2 linked regions of the Coturnix japonica genome follow. The protein of the gene in region 2 interacts with the protein of the main gene of each other region in a pairwise test. Links are inferred from orthologs where the notes say so. Each region holds a gene or a part of one and is shown on either strand. Other genes may lie near its edges.

Region 1 (5,795 bases), on a different chromosome or scaffold from region 2:
GAGGTTGATGGGTAACTAAGAAGTTTCATAGCCATGGGGTTTCTGTAAATTTGTTTTGCAACTCTAGATCCAGCTTCATGCAAGGTGAGTCCTTTGGCATGCTGCAGCCTGGCACATGGCCTTCCCAAGAGCACTTGCTTCATCTTTGCATTTCTGCTTTCAGAGGATGGATTGAGCCTGGAAGTGCAGGCATTTATTAGGGGAGGGTTTCAGACCCCAACCAGCACCTTCCTCACCCACCTGTGGGCTTGGGAAGCAGCAAAGGCCCAGGGTGCTCTTGTTGCATCCTTCCAAATATCAGCTGAGGGACACACCAGTTTCTACCCAGTGCTGTGTCACCTCACACATGGGCATAGGGATGTTATCTGAACACATCAAACCTTGTGCCCAGAAACAACCCCAGCTCTGTTGTGATAAGGAGTTGATTGGAAAGCAGGGACAAGCAATCTGTCCCACTGGGGCCTGCCAGATGAGAATGCCTTTGCTTCTGTGGAATGGGCAAAGCCTGAATGAAGGGCTAGGGGAGAGGGGCAAGAAAAACCCTGCTTTTCATTTATCTCTGCGTGTATTACACTCAGCAAATGACCTCAGAAGATGCATAGTGGAAACAGGGAATACAGCAAAGGATGCATGTAAACTTACTCTGGAGAAAGACAGACCTTCACCAAGCCTTTAAGACAGGAAAAAGCTTGCTTGCTAACATAGCGAGGGGAAGGTGTAGGTCCTGTAAGTATAGCCCATGCGTGATGGAGAAACCGGAGAGCTGCTTTTCAGTTTTGAATCATTCTCAAGCAGACAGACTTTCATTTTCGATGATTTTTAAAGGTCTGGCTCCGTGCCTCACAGGGAGATGAAAAGCAAACACATGAACATTCACAGAGATATCAAGCACTGTGGCTGACACAGGTGCTAGTTCCTCTGCAGGGAAGCGTGGGAAAGCTATAATGTTGCATTTCTCTATCATTATTGTCACATCCTGCTGTGCTCAGTGGTTTTGTAGTGAGTTGTAACTAAACTCAGTGGGTTAGCAACTGCAATGCAGGACCTACTTTCTCGCATGAAGCACAAGAAGCTGGAAGTCTCCCACTTTTGCAGTTTGGTCGCTGCAGGTAGGAGGCAAACCACTTCATTACACTACTGCCAAATGGGTAATGCTAGCCAGGGGACTTCACTAAAGCACCAAAGAGAAAAGGAACAGCTCCTCTGTCCTAAATGGTGTATGATAAACAGATTCCTGCTTAGCCTAGAACAGGTGCAACAGGACATTTGCACCAGTGACAGAAGGAGGCTGCAATCAGCGACTGGAACAGACCCTTCAAGGCTTTGTGTACTTATATCTACCTTTCTATAAATATATATTTTTAAATAGATAGATGTATATATAAAACTAGAGATGATGCAGGCAGACCCTGCAAGGCTACTGTTATTGATGTGTATGTATATACATCCATATATACCTGTACATAAATAGATAGATACACACATTTTTTCATGGAGGAAGAGCCTCAGTGTCTCAGCCAATCCTAGCCCTCTTGATGGTTGTCTACGTTGATGGGAATTACCCATAACACCAAAGTTTGAGAAGAAACAGCCACAACCAAGTGCTATGTACCGCCCTGCCTTGCTGTGCTCTGTGGTGCTCATTTTCACTCTGTGCATGGCAGCCTCACTGTTACAGGCAGATGATGCAAGCCTGCCAAGAGTCCTCCAGAGATACTGGGCACAGGAAGATGTCCTTCCACTTTACAAGAAGAACATAATTAGCAAAGCAGCAAAGGAGGGTTGTGGCCACCAGTCTGCAAGACCCATCTCTGCTGTTGAACTCCCATCCTATTTATAGCAATGAGACAGCAGCAGCTAGCTTTGACACTTCCCCTTCAGCTCTATTTATAAATCCCAGCTTGCAAACAGGAGCATGGTCTTTGTGCATCCCTCTGCTTGCCATGAGAAGTGAATCTGTCCCTAGCAGAGCACAGCTGGGAGCAGTGAACCCTTAGCAGTGTGAATCTGACACTGAGACAAATGGATGGCAAGGGCAGATGGAGAAGACACTGCAGGGTCGCTGCCTGGGCCCTGCTAGCACCACGTCAAACAGAAAAGCTGGGGCTGACTGTGAGGAGGCAGACAAAAGCAGAAGTCCCGTTTGCTTCCTTTGAAAGTCACCCTATATCGCATACACGCTGATCCACCCACAGAGCAGTGAATAATTTCCTTCTGCAGTGGAATGAAAAGAAGCAGTGAGCTTTTCTGCTGCTGCAGTCCCCTAGCATTAGGGTGTGTTTTACACCCTTGCTGCCGGGAAAAAAAGGACTGTTAGCGTTATAAGGGCACCAAAATTCAGCCAACAAAACGAACCCTTTAGTACAAAACTCATTATCAAACAGAGCTGGGCTTATATGGACTGTGTTTCTGGGATCAGGGAGGTATTTTTAATCCTGTTGTAATTGGAAACTTACTCCTTTTTATGGAATGAGCCTGTATGTATGAACCCACTATCTCCAGCAATCCAAGCACAGGGAGCTCGGAGGGCCTCAGTCTGTGGCTAATCTCATGGCTTATACAGCTCCCTTCTTGGCCTAAGTGAGTACAAAGGGCACATGTCCGCACACATGCAGTTACGGGCTTTCCTTCCATGAGAAGAAGATGGCTGCCAGTGGGAGTCCGACTATGAGACAGGCAAGAGGTGCACCCACTATGAAACCCAGCCAGAGCTAGCTTGTGTGAACACTGAGGGTGTTCCTTCTGCACCTGCTCCCAGAGCCCAATCACCCATGGAGTGCCCACGGAGATGCAGTGGGTATGGTCACAGACAGGGATGGAGCTGCAGACCCATCACAGAATGGCACAGCAAGGCAGAGTCCTGGGCTCTGAAACCATGACCAGGTGAGCACAGAGTCACCTTTTCCTGTCTGCATAGAGAGGTGATGGCCTCCAGAGCACTGCTGGGGAGCTCAGCCCTGAGGTGGTCACCTCTTAAGGCTGCAGATCTTCACACCCTGACACCCTGCACTCTGCTGCTACCAGCGCACCTCCAAGCTCACAGAACAGCCAGGCATCAAACCCCAGCGTGCAGCTGTCACAAAATGACACCTATTAATCTCCTTTAGCATCTGATCTTTCTGGTCGGTGTCACCCTTGACTCGTCTGGTGCCTCACAGCGGCTGACAAGCTGCAAACACATCCTTGTGCCTCAGGAGCAGCTCTGAGCAGCCATATTTACCGCTTGGGGTTTGGTGCTTTCTGTGCATTTCCCTTGCTGCTTCCTTCCCACCATGAGCTGCTCAGTCTGGCAGGTTCTCAGGACAGGCTGATGATGCTCTGCAGCACTGACAGAACCAGGGAGAAGGTGTCTGATTGCTCACAGTGGCATAAGAGCCATTTCAAAACCAGTGACATGTCCTTCTGATGTATCTATTATTGCTGAAAATTGAAACGTTCATTGTTCCTCCTCTTTTTTCCTCTTTTCTCACATCCCCAAATACATCAATGTTGGAAGGCCACAACCCTGTTGGGTTTCACTTCAGGACTGAGCCTTTCTGCATTACGTACGTACACGAATATAGATGGAGAAGAATCTGGATAAATATCACACCAGTCTACATAGCGGTTCAGCTGAAGTTGCACTGATGCAGTGCCAGCTGCTGCTCTGCTGACGTTCATGTTCAGCCCAAAAGCTCTGTTTAGCTGGATACCAGTGTATTTTTCTAAGAGCATGCGAGCTGTCAGTTGGGGTCATGCTCGCAGGACCCAACCTGCTTTGGGGTGGAGACATCCACTCAGTGCCACCATCTCTGCAGACATTTTCTGTGAGATTTGGAGGCTTCCTTTCCTGAGGCCGCTGTCATAGGGATGCCTTTTCTCTTGCAGAAAATGCCACGTGACTGCTGCCTCTGTCTGCCAGCAATGACCTGGGTGCTGCTGCTGCTGACAACAGGTGAACCCCACCTGCCCTTCCTCCCTACCTTCCCCCAACACCTCATGTGGTCACTGAAATGTGCTGGAGTGGGGAAATACCCATCACTGCACTACATGTGGCACTGAGAGCCATACAGGTGTGGGTGCCTGCTGCTGGGAGCCCCACAGCTGCCTCTGGTGCTGGTCCTCCATTTCTAACTCATCTTCTCCACATTCCAGCCTTTGCTGCAGAGTGTCCCAAGATCAAGGTGGGGACATGCAAGAACTGCATCCAGTCTGGCCCTGGCTGCGCCTGGTGCAAGAAGCTGGTAGGTCCCCGTATCCTCACATGCTATCAGCAAAAGGGCAGTGAGAGCCATCCTGCCAGTGGGCAGTCAGTCCTGGTAGGACTTTGTGTCCTCCCTGCTGGATGAGACCAGAACTTCAGCCTTTACTTTCTCCGCCAATATCCCAGAGCCCCAGCAGAGCTGGTTTGGGAGTTGGGTCATTGGAGTTGTGTGTTTACTTACCTCCTGCCCCCCTAATTTTTCTGTTTGATGTTGCAACACTCAGGATTTCACCAAAGCCGGTGAGCCAGACTCCAACCGCTGTGACACTGTAGAGCAGCTGCAGCAGAGGGGATGCCCAGAGAACGAGATTGAGTTTCCAGTCAATGAGATCAAAAGGACACAGGACAGTGCATTCAGCAATAAGATACAGCTGACTCCCCAGGAGGTGCATCTGAAGCTGAGGATAAGTATGATTCCTGTGTTGTGATAATAACCTTCTGCCCATCCCCACACTCAGCTGGGTAGCAGCTGAAGCTGGCCAACATTTGTTGCACATGTTTTTTACCCTTTCTTCAAAACTGTTGTCAGGAGGTGATCCTGCAGGAAACCTGAGGGACCTCACAGGAGCTGTAAAGTCTTGAAGGAAAAGCTCTTGTGAAGATGTGAGGGTGGGGGATGCTTCAGGGGAGATAAACATGGAGCCTGTAGCTGTGCTGGGGTGTGGTGGCATGTCAAAGGTTTCCTCTCCATTTTCTCCCAAAGAAAGATCCCAGTGTGGGGTGGGCAATGAGGCAGGATATGATCCACAGCACAGTGGCTGAACCTGGTGTCTCTATCCCACAGGGGAGCCTGCTGAATTTCACGTGAAGTTTCGCCGCGCCACAGGTTACCCCATTGATATCTACTACCTCATGGACCTCTCCTATTCCATGCTAGATGACCTAGAGAATGTGAAGAAGCTAGGAGGAGAGCTGCTTAGAGCCCTGGAGAACACCACACCCTCTCGCCGCATAGGTGAGCCTGTCTGAAGCACAGGGCCAGCTGTTTGCTGGGAAGAGTAGTGAGGCCAGTGGACAAAATAAGATGCAGGATGCAGGCAGTGTGAGGCAGTGTACTGGAGCAAGGGATGTGGACAGGTACTTGGCTCCTCATGCAGGAACCAGGAGGCTGTCCATGCCCGGTGCCATCAGAACACTTGCCAACCTCTTCCATCTCTAACAATGCCCATGGTCCTGGGCGTCCTAGGTTTTGGTTCCTTTGTGGACAAGACAGTACTGCCTTTTGTCAACACACACCCTGAGAAGCTGAAGAACCCTTGCCCCAACAAGGACAGTAATTGCCAGCCCCCCTTTGCCTTCAAACACATCCTCTCACTGACCGACAATGCTGAGAAGTTTGAGAGTGAAGTGGGGAAGCAGTTCATCTCAGGGAACCTGGATGCCCCAGAAGGAGGGCTGGATGCCATGATGCAGGCAGCAGTGTGTGGAGTGAGTACCCAAAAGGGCAGCCTCATTTCTTCCCCATTCCCTTCACCTGCAGGCATGATGGCTGCTGCCTCTGCTCACGGCTCCTCCAGCAGGAGCTGGTTCTGCCCCTCCTGGAGCAGGTTGT
Region 2 (6,517 bases):
ACAGAGGGTCAGTGGACCCTGAGCTGCTGCCTCTGCCCTCCTGGAGGTTTGGGCTGTTCTTTGTCCCAAGTCACTGCTTGAGCTCCCCAGCAGGGCTGTGCTCCCTTGCCTTCCAGTGCTGCTGTATCAGCCAGCCTGGGGGGCTGCCCCCACTCCCACCTCCATCACTTCCATCTTGGCTGGAGCCTGGAAGCCCCTGCTGTGCCTGCAGGCTGCGTGCCCCCCTCCTCTCTTCCTGGGGAGGGGGTCACTGACCCTGTGCTATCAGCACTGCGCCTCCCCCCGGCCCCATCCCCGCTGTGCGAGTCGCAGTGCAGCCGTCGGGTCCGGGCGGGCAATAAAACCACGCGCGTTTGTGAACGGAGTGTCCGCGGGAGGGGCCTATGGGGGTGGGGGGGGTAGAGACGTATGGGAGTGGGAGGGGTCTGCGCTGCCCACGCCCACTCGCGTCACGTGTCGTCGCCCTCTGCGGCCTCGGTGCCGCCGTCACGCGGGCGGGGCCGGAGCGACGGAGGCGGCATGGACGAGGAGGGCGGCTACGGTCAGTGCGGGGGGGCACGGGGGGCACCGGGGGGGGGCTGCGGGGCGGCTGTAGCACCGGGGCTGCCGCCGTCGGGCCGCGGGGCGGTGGTGCGGGGCTGCGGGCGGCGATAAGGCGGCTCCTCCCGGGGCGGGGTGTGCGGAACTGGGGCTCGGCCGCCGTGATGCCGCCCGTCGGAACCACCCCGGGCTGCTCCGGGACCGGCCGCTGCTGTTCGGCCTCGGCGTTTCTCCGGGGCTCGGCCCGACTCGTTCCCGGCGTTGGGCAGCGTCAATGACCGCGTTGATTCGGAGTCGTGCAGGTGGCGGCCCCACCACCAGCACCGTGTGTCGGTAGGGAGTAAATCCCGGCTGGCGGCACAGCTGTGTCCCCCCGTGTCACCCCATCCCCGGCACGGGGCGGCTGTCCGGGATCGGCCCGTCGGGGCGCCCCGGTTGTCCCAGCGCTGCGTCCCGGACTGTGCCCGGCCCAAGGGTAATCCCACAGCACCGAGGGATTACGGCTGGCGCTGCCCTGGAGGATTAAGGGATTTCTCTAAGCGGGGTTGATGCGGGCTCTGCAAAGCGGCTTGTGCTGGGGGCCCGCGGCTGGGGCAGCGCCGGGGTGGGCTGGGGGTGGGCAGCCCATTGCCAGCCCTGCTGTCTGGGTAGGACCCGGCAGGTGCCTTAGTATGGGGTCAGTGATGCGCTTTGGAGGTGGTGCAGCCCTGCAGCAGGCAGCGGGGGCTGTGGGGACACGAGGGGGTGAAGCTCTGTGCATAGTGGGGCTGGGGTGAGCACCAGGTAGTGTGGGACTGGGGGCAGACTGAGCTCAGGGGGTGGGGATAGTGGGGCTGCAGAGCATGCAGTGTTGTGAGAAAGGCTGTTAGCCAAGGTAGAGCAGAGCAGAGCGTGACGAGCAGCACTGCTGACACACAGAAATTGCATGGAGGCTCAAGCAGAGCCACACATCCCTGAGCTGTTGTTTCAGCCCACCCATGGCTCTGGGTGCACAGCACAGTGCCCTGAGCTGGGGCTGCAATGTGGAAGCAGAGACTGAGCCACAGTTGGTGCAGCTGTGATTATTGCAGCCCATTTCAAGTGCCCGTGGCTGCCCTCCCTGCACAGGCTCCCCCTGGCCCAGCCCTGTGTCCCTGCAGCTCCTCACACCTTTCACCTCTGCAGTGAGGAGGAGGCAGAAGCTGTTTGCTTCCAAGGGAAGGGGAAGCAGCACAACTCAGTCATGGAGGTGATGAGCACCTGTGAGCAGCCGTTCCCATCTCCTTCCCATCCATCCACAGCTGCTCCCAACACCAGGGTAACTCTTGCCTGTCCCCAGCCATGCCCCCAAGGTCCTGTGCCCATTCCCATAGCCCTTCCCCATCTGGATGCTATCTGCCCACCCTGGGGGTTCTCCAGCTCAGCCCATTGCAGCAGGCTCCCAGCAGCAGTCAGGACCCAGTACCAGGTGCCGTCTGCAGGACACGGCCTCATGCCCCGACAGGCTCTGCAGTCTGTTACTCACGGACGTGCCCCACGCTGGGGAATCACTCCTGCTCGGAGGAAGGGAAGGAGCTGTCTGTCCGGTTTGGGCTCCCTCGCTGCCTGTGGGGCTGGCAGGTTGGGGGCCGGGTGCGGTGGGGCTGAGTGCTGCCCCCAGCCCTGCTGGAGGCCCATAGCTCGGGCAGAGCCCCAGCTCCTGCTGTAGGAGCATCCCGGCTGCCAGGGCCTGGAGAATCATCTCCATCACAGCCATGATGTGCCAGCTCCAGGCTGCCCGCTCTGCATTCCCAGGTGCCTGAATCCATTGTGGCCATACTGGGGAGCAGCGTTCCCCTGTTCCCCACAACTGGGGGCTCCCCACGCCAGCTCCAGCCCGTTGTGTTTCTTTATGCACCTTCCTTTTATGCAGGGAAGGTTGCTACGCAACCAGCGGCTCTTGATGCTTAAAGCTCTAATACGGTGGGATAAAACCGCTCTAAAAATACCCCCGCCGTCAGCCACCCAGGGGCCGGGGCATGCAGGGGGGCAGAGGGGGGGCAGGCAGCCTGATACCAGGGGTGCTGTTGGGAACTTCCCTACTCTACGTCCTCCAAGTGGCTTTGAGTGCCCAGGAACACAGCAGCGTTCGGTGCCGGCACGGAGCGGGATTGGCTGCGACCGGCGCGTGGGCTCCTGCTGCTGGAGCCTCCCGCTGCCAGAGCCGCCTTCCCCTGCTCCAGGAGGAGCGGGGACACCCGGGGCAGCCCCAGCTGCAGGGAGCTGCTGTGCGGTGCCCTCCTGCCCTCAGCCTGCCCCGGGGGAGCCGGCACTGCGCAGCATGGGGACGGTCAGCGAGCTCTGCGCCTCCAGCTTCCAGGCCTTCCTCTGCCCCTCCGTGGCCACCACGGCAGGTAGGTGCTTTGTGCCCCATCCCTGTCCCCCCCAGCAGACGAGGTGCCCGTAGCTCTGGCTCCATATGGCTCATGCTGACAGCAGCACACAGTCCCAGTTGTCTTGCTGTCTCCTTCCACCGTGCGCTGCCAGGCTTGGGCCCCCCTGGGCTCTGGGTGCAGCTTGTATTGCACCACATTGCTGGGATGGGGAGCCCATGGGAGCACAGTGGGTTCACGTGGCACAGTGAGATGTGTCCAGCAGCTCCTTGCTCTCTTACCCCAGCGCTGCTGCGGGTGATGCCCTCACTGCTGCCCTACTCGGAGCAGGAAGGAGCATGCGTGGCTGTGAGCACAGCTCCAGCCCACGTCCTCCAGACAAAACCTGGCTGGGGCACCCTGACGCCTGCTGTGTCACAGCTGCCACCGTGGGCTGGCAGTGCCTGTGAGCTGCTGTTGTCTGTCTGCAGGCTCCTGCTCCCGAGCTGAGACCTGGGAATAGAGAGTAAGCAAGGAGCACATGGGGTGCACTCCTGGCACTCTTGCAGGACGTGGGGCTGTAGGAAGGCATAGCACAGTGAGGATGGATGTGGCTCCGTTGTGTGCCCCTGCTGTACTCCAGCCCCGCAGCCAGGATGGGCTCTGTGCTTAGGGGGTGCAGGAGCCTGGAACTGGTGGGCTGGGTTCCTTGCTGGGGGCAGGGCTGCTCCAAGGGGCTGAGAACCCCCGGCAGCTCTCAGCTATGGGGTGGGGTTGGGGGATTCTATCTTGGAGCCGCCCTATGCTGTGCTCCTGACGCACCTCATCTGTCTGTGGGGAAGAACAGGGCTGACGCAACCCAGGATGTGCACACAGCACAGTGAAAACAGGATGTGGTGCACTGGGGCAGCGGCAGGAAGTTTCTTGGGGCCCCTCAGCAACCCCCCCCCCCAGCAGTGGGGTGCAGCAGGAGCCCCATGGTGGAACCCACAAGCAATGCCCTGTGGTCAGCAGCCCCTGCCCTGGGCTGGGGCATCCCTGCGGTCTGTTCAGCTCTGCTTGTGGATGGAGCTGTGCAGCAGGAGGGCTGTGTCCCTGCAGCACAGCGTTCAGCTGGAAGGCCAATGTGAGCCTCTTTTTAGCTCCTTCTTCCCTGAGCTTTCCTGGGAGATGCTCTGGATGCTGTTTTTCCATCACACGCTGTGGAGCAGGATTTAGCTGAGTCAATGTGCCGGAGCTCTTGTGGTCTCCCCGGGCAGCTGCAGCGGGACAGGACCTTGCTGAGGGCTGTGCTGCTGCAGGCACGGCCCTATTGCAGGGAATGAGAGCAGGTGGTCCTTACAGCCTATACAGGCCCTGAACCCACACATGGGGGGGGGGATATGGCTGGACAGTGCCAGATCTTCAGGGCAGGGTTGGGGCTCTGGATGGGGTGGGAGAGGGGTCCCTGGTGTCACCGCCCTGAGCTTGGGACGTGCTGAGCCGCATGCATCCTGGCAGCCCCCGAGGAAGGAAGGGCCGGGCCAGCTCCAGTGCCTGCAAGGATGGGTGGGCGGCAGTGACCCTGGGGGCCGAGGAGGGGGCGCGGGGCTCTGGCTGCACAGGAACCGGGTGTTGCTGGTGCCAGTTCTCAGCCGGGCTGCGATGACGCCTGGCACAGCGCTGAGCTCATTGGCCTGGAGCTGCCCTGACTCACCCAGGAAGCTCTGGGAGGGGGCAGCTGTTGGCACCCCAAAGAGCAGCACCTCTGCAGCACTGTGCAGACGTGGGCAGCGGGACACAGCCCAGCAGGATGGTCCTCGGGGTGCAGGGCAGCGGTGAGCAGATGGGCCTGCGTGGGGCAGTGGGTGGGAAGGAGGCACGTGGGGCTGAATGCGATGCAGAGGGGCTTTGTGTCTGTTCAAGGCATGGTGTGAGCGGGGTATTTGCTCCTTGAATCCAGGATGGAGCCTTGCCATGCTCCTCACTGCCCTGGGGGTGAGGCAGCAGCTCCCCTGCATTGCTCTGCAGAGGTTGGGGGGATGGCTCAGAGTATTGGTGCTCTGTGGTTTGTGCTGAGAATCCTTGCACCCAGCATGGCAGCCTGGGATGATAGCCTGGCATGGGATGTTAGCCTGGCATGGGATGATAGCCTGGCATGGCTGCTGGATTTGGTGTTCTGCTCCAGCCCCCTCTTGCAGCCTTGTGCAGGCTCAGAGGTTGCTGCAGCTCCACTCGGTGCTATGGAAGGGTTAACGCCTGCGTCCTTCGCTGAGAAAAGCTCTGCGTCTGGGGTTTCTCTTCCTCCTGCTGCTGCTGACACGGCTGGGCCATGTCACGAGTGCTCTCCCAGCACAGCATCAGGCAGGCTTGGGGGGGGGCTGGGCTTTGTGGCTGCTATGAGTCCCTATGAGCCCCTTGCCCACACTGCCCGGGGGTGGGCAGAGGCTGTGTTCCCCCAGGGCTCTGTGCACCCACCGTGTGCCAGCACCGCTCTGTCGCTGCTGCAGCCTCCCACCCATCCACCCACCCTCTGTGGGCCTGGGAGGGCTGCGGTCTGGCACGGAATTTCACCTCCCACGCAGCCCCACGCTGCAGCTCCCAGCAAGCTGCATCCTGCAGGGTGCTGGACACAACTGGACCGGGGAGGCCGTGCTCCGGTGGGACCGACTCCATTCCAGTGCTAGGGAGGGTTTGTGCAGCCTACGGAGCAATGCTTCTGGCATTGTTGGCATAGATAGAGTTCAGAACCTGGTGCTGTAATATTGGGAAGTGTTCCATCGAGTCCAGAGGGATCGTGTCGCAAGCCGAGGCTGCTGCTGACCTTTGCAGAGGGGATTTCTCTAAAGGAGGAACCTCAGCAGAGAAGGCGAGTGGAATGAGGAAAGTGCTGAGCTGGGACATTCGGTTCGTGTGAGCGCAGCCACCCCAGAGGCACCGTGAGCCCTGGAGAGGAGGGGGGAACTACGCTGGGAACGGAGAGCAGACGGTGCTGGGGTGTGAGAGAGGGGATGGAGGGTCCTGGCTGTTGGGTTGCCAAGGAGTGACAGACTGAGGTGGACCTGGGGCAATGCAGGGTGGGATGGAGGGGGCGGTGGGCACCTGGGGACAGGTGGGGGGAGGATGGTGTGGGCTGCTTTGTGGTGCGGGCACCGATCTTGGAGCCTTGGTCGTGGCCTTGTTGTAGGATGTGAGCTGGAAGGTGATGGTAGGGCAGGGGTAGGCGGGGGCTGTGGGGGTGACCTTGGGAACAGGAGCAGCGGGTGCCACGTAACCGCAGAGCGGGAGGTCACGGGCTGGGGAGCTGCAGGAATGTTACCCATGAGCTGCAGTGTGAGGGGGGGCAATGGGAGCGTGTGGCTCAGCCCCGGCTGCTGTGGGCCAAGCAGGGCAGCCAGGTGTCCCCCCGTGCAGTGATGTGTGTTGGGGTGCATTGGTTCACCCCTGTTCCAGCACAGAGTAGGCACCAAGGGTGGCCTGGAGCCAGCTCTCTCCAGGGTTTACCCGTTGTGGATGAACATTGCTTGGGTGGCTCTAAGTCCCATTGTGGTGCCATGGCCCCGGTGAGCATAGGGGCCAGGGGCTGCAGTGGCACCAGGGGCTGGGCCAGAACTCACTTCCTCAGCTTATATCAGCAGGAATGTGGGGGCCAGGCTCCCCCCAGCCGG

Evidence for each region.
Region 1: the proteins of CYTH1 (region 2) and ITGB2 interact in a two-hybrid assay, tested with the Homo sapiens proteins (2 studies listed by BioGRID). The link is inferred for Coturnix japonica from reciprocal best matches to the Homo sapiens genes CYTH1 and ITGB2.

What each region holds. Positions count from the first base shown.
Region 1 is NC_029522.1:2,234,780-2,240,574, forward strand, and holds part of ITGB2 (integrin beta-2), read left to right. Parts: intron 1-3,867; 5' UTR 3,868-3,870; coding exon 3,871-3,934; intron 3,935-4,134; coding exon 4,135-4,223; intron 4,224-4,467; coding exon 4,468-4,651; intron 4,652-5,027; coding exon 5,028-5,198; intron 5,199-5,429; coding exon 5,430-5,671; intron 5,672-5,795.
Region 2 is NC_029533.1:4,598,088-4,604,604, reverse strand, and holds the start of CYTH1 (cytohesin-1), read left to right. Parts: upstream 1-2,708; 5' UTR 2,709-2,839; coding exon 2,840-2,912; intron 2,913-4,382; exon of another isoform or gene 4,383-4,662; coding exon of another isoform or gene 4,663-4,687; intron 4,688-5,771; exon of another isoform or gene 5,772-5,846; intron 5,847-6,517. UniProt on the Homo sapiens protein: Promotes guanine-nucleotide exchange on ARF1, ARF5 and ARF6. Promotes the activation of ARF factors through replacement of GDP with GTP.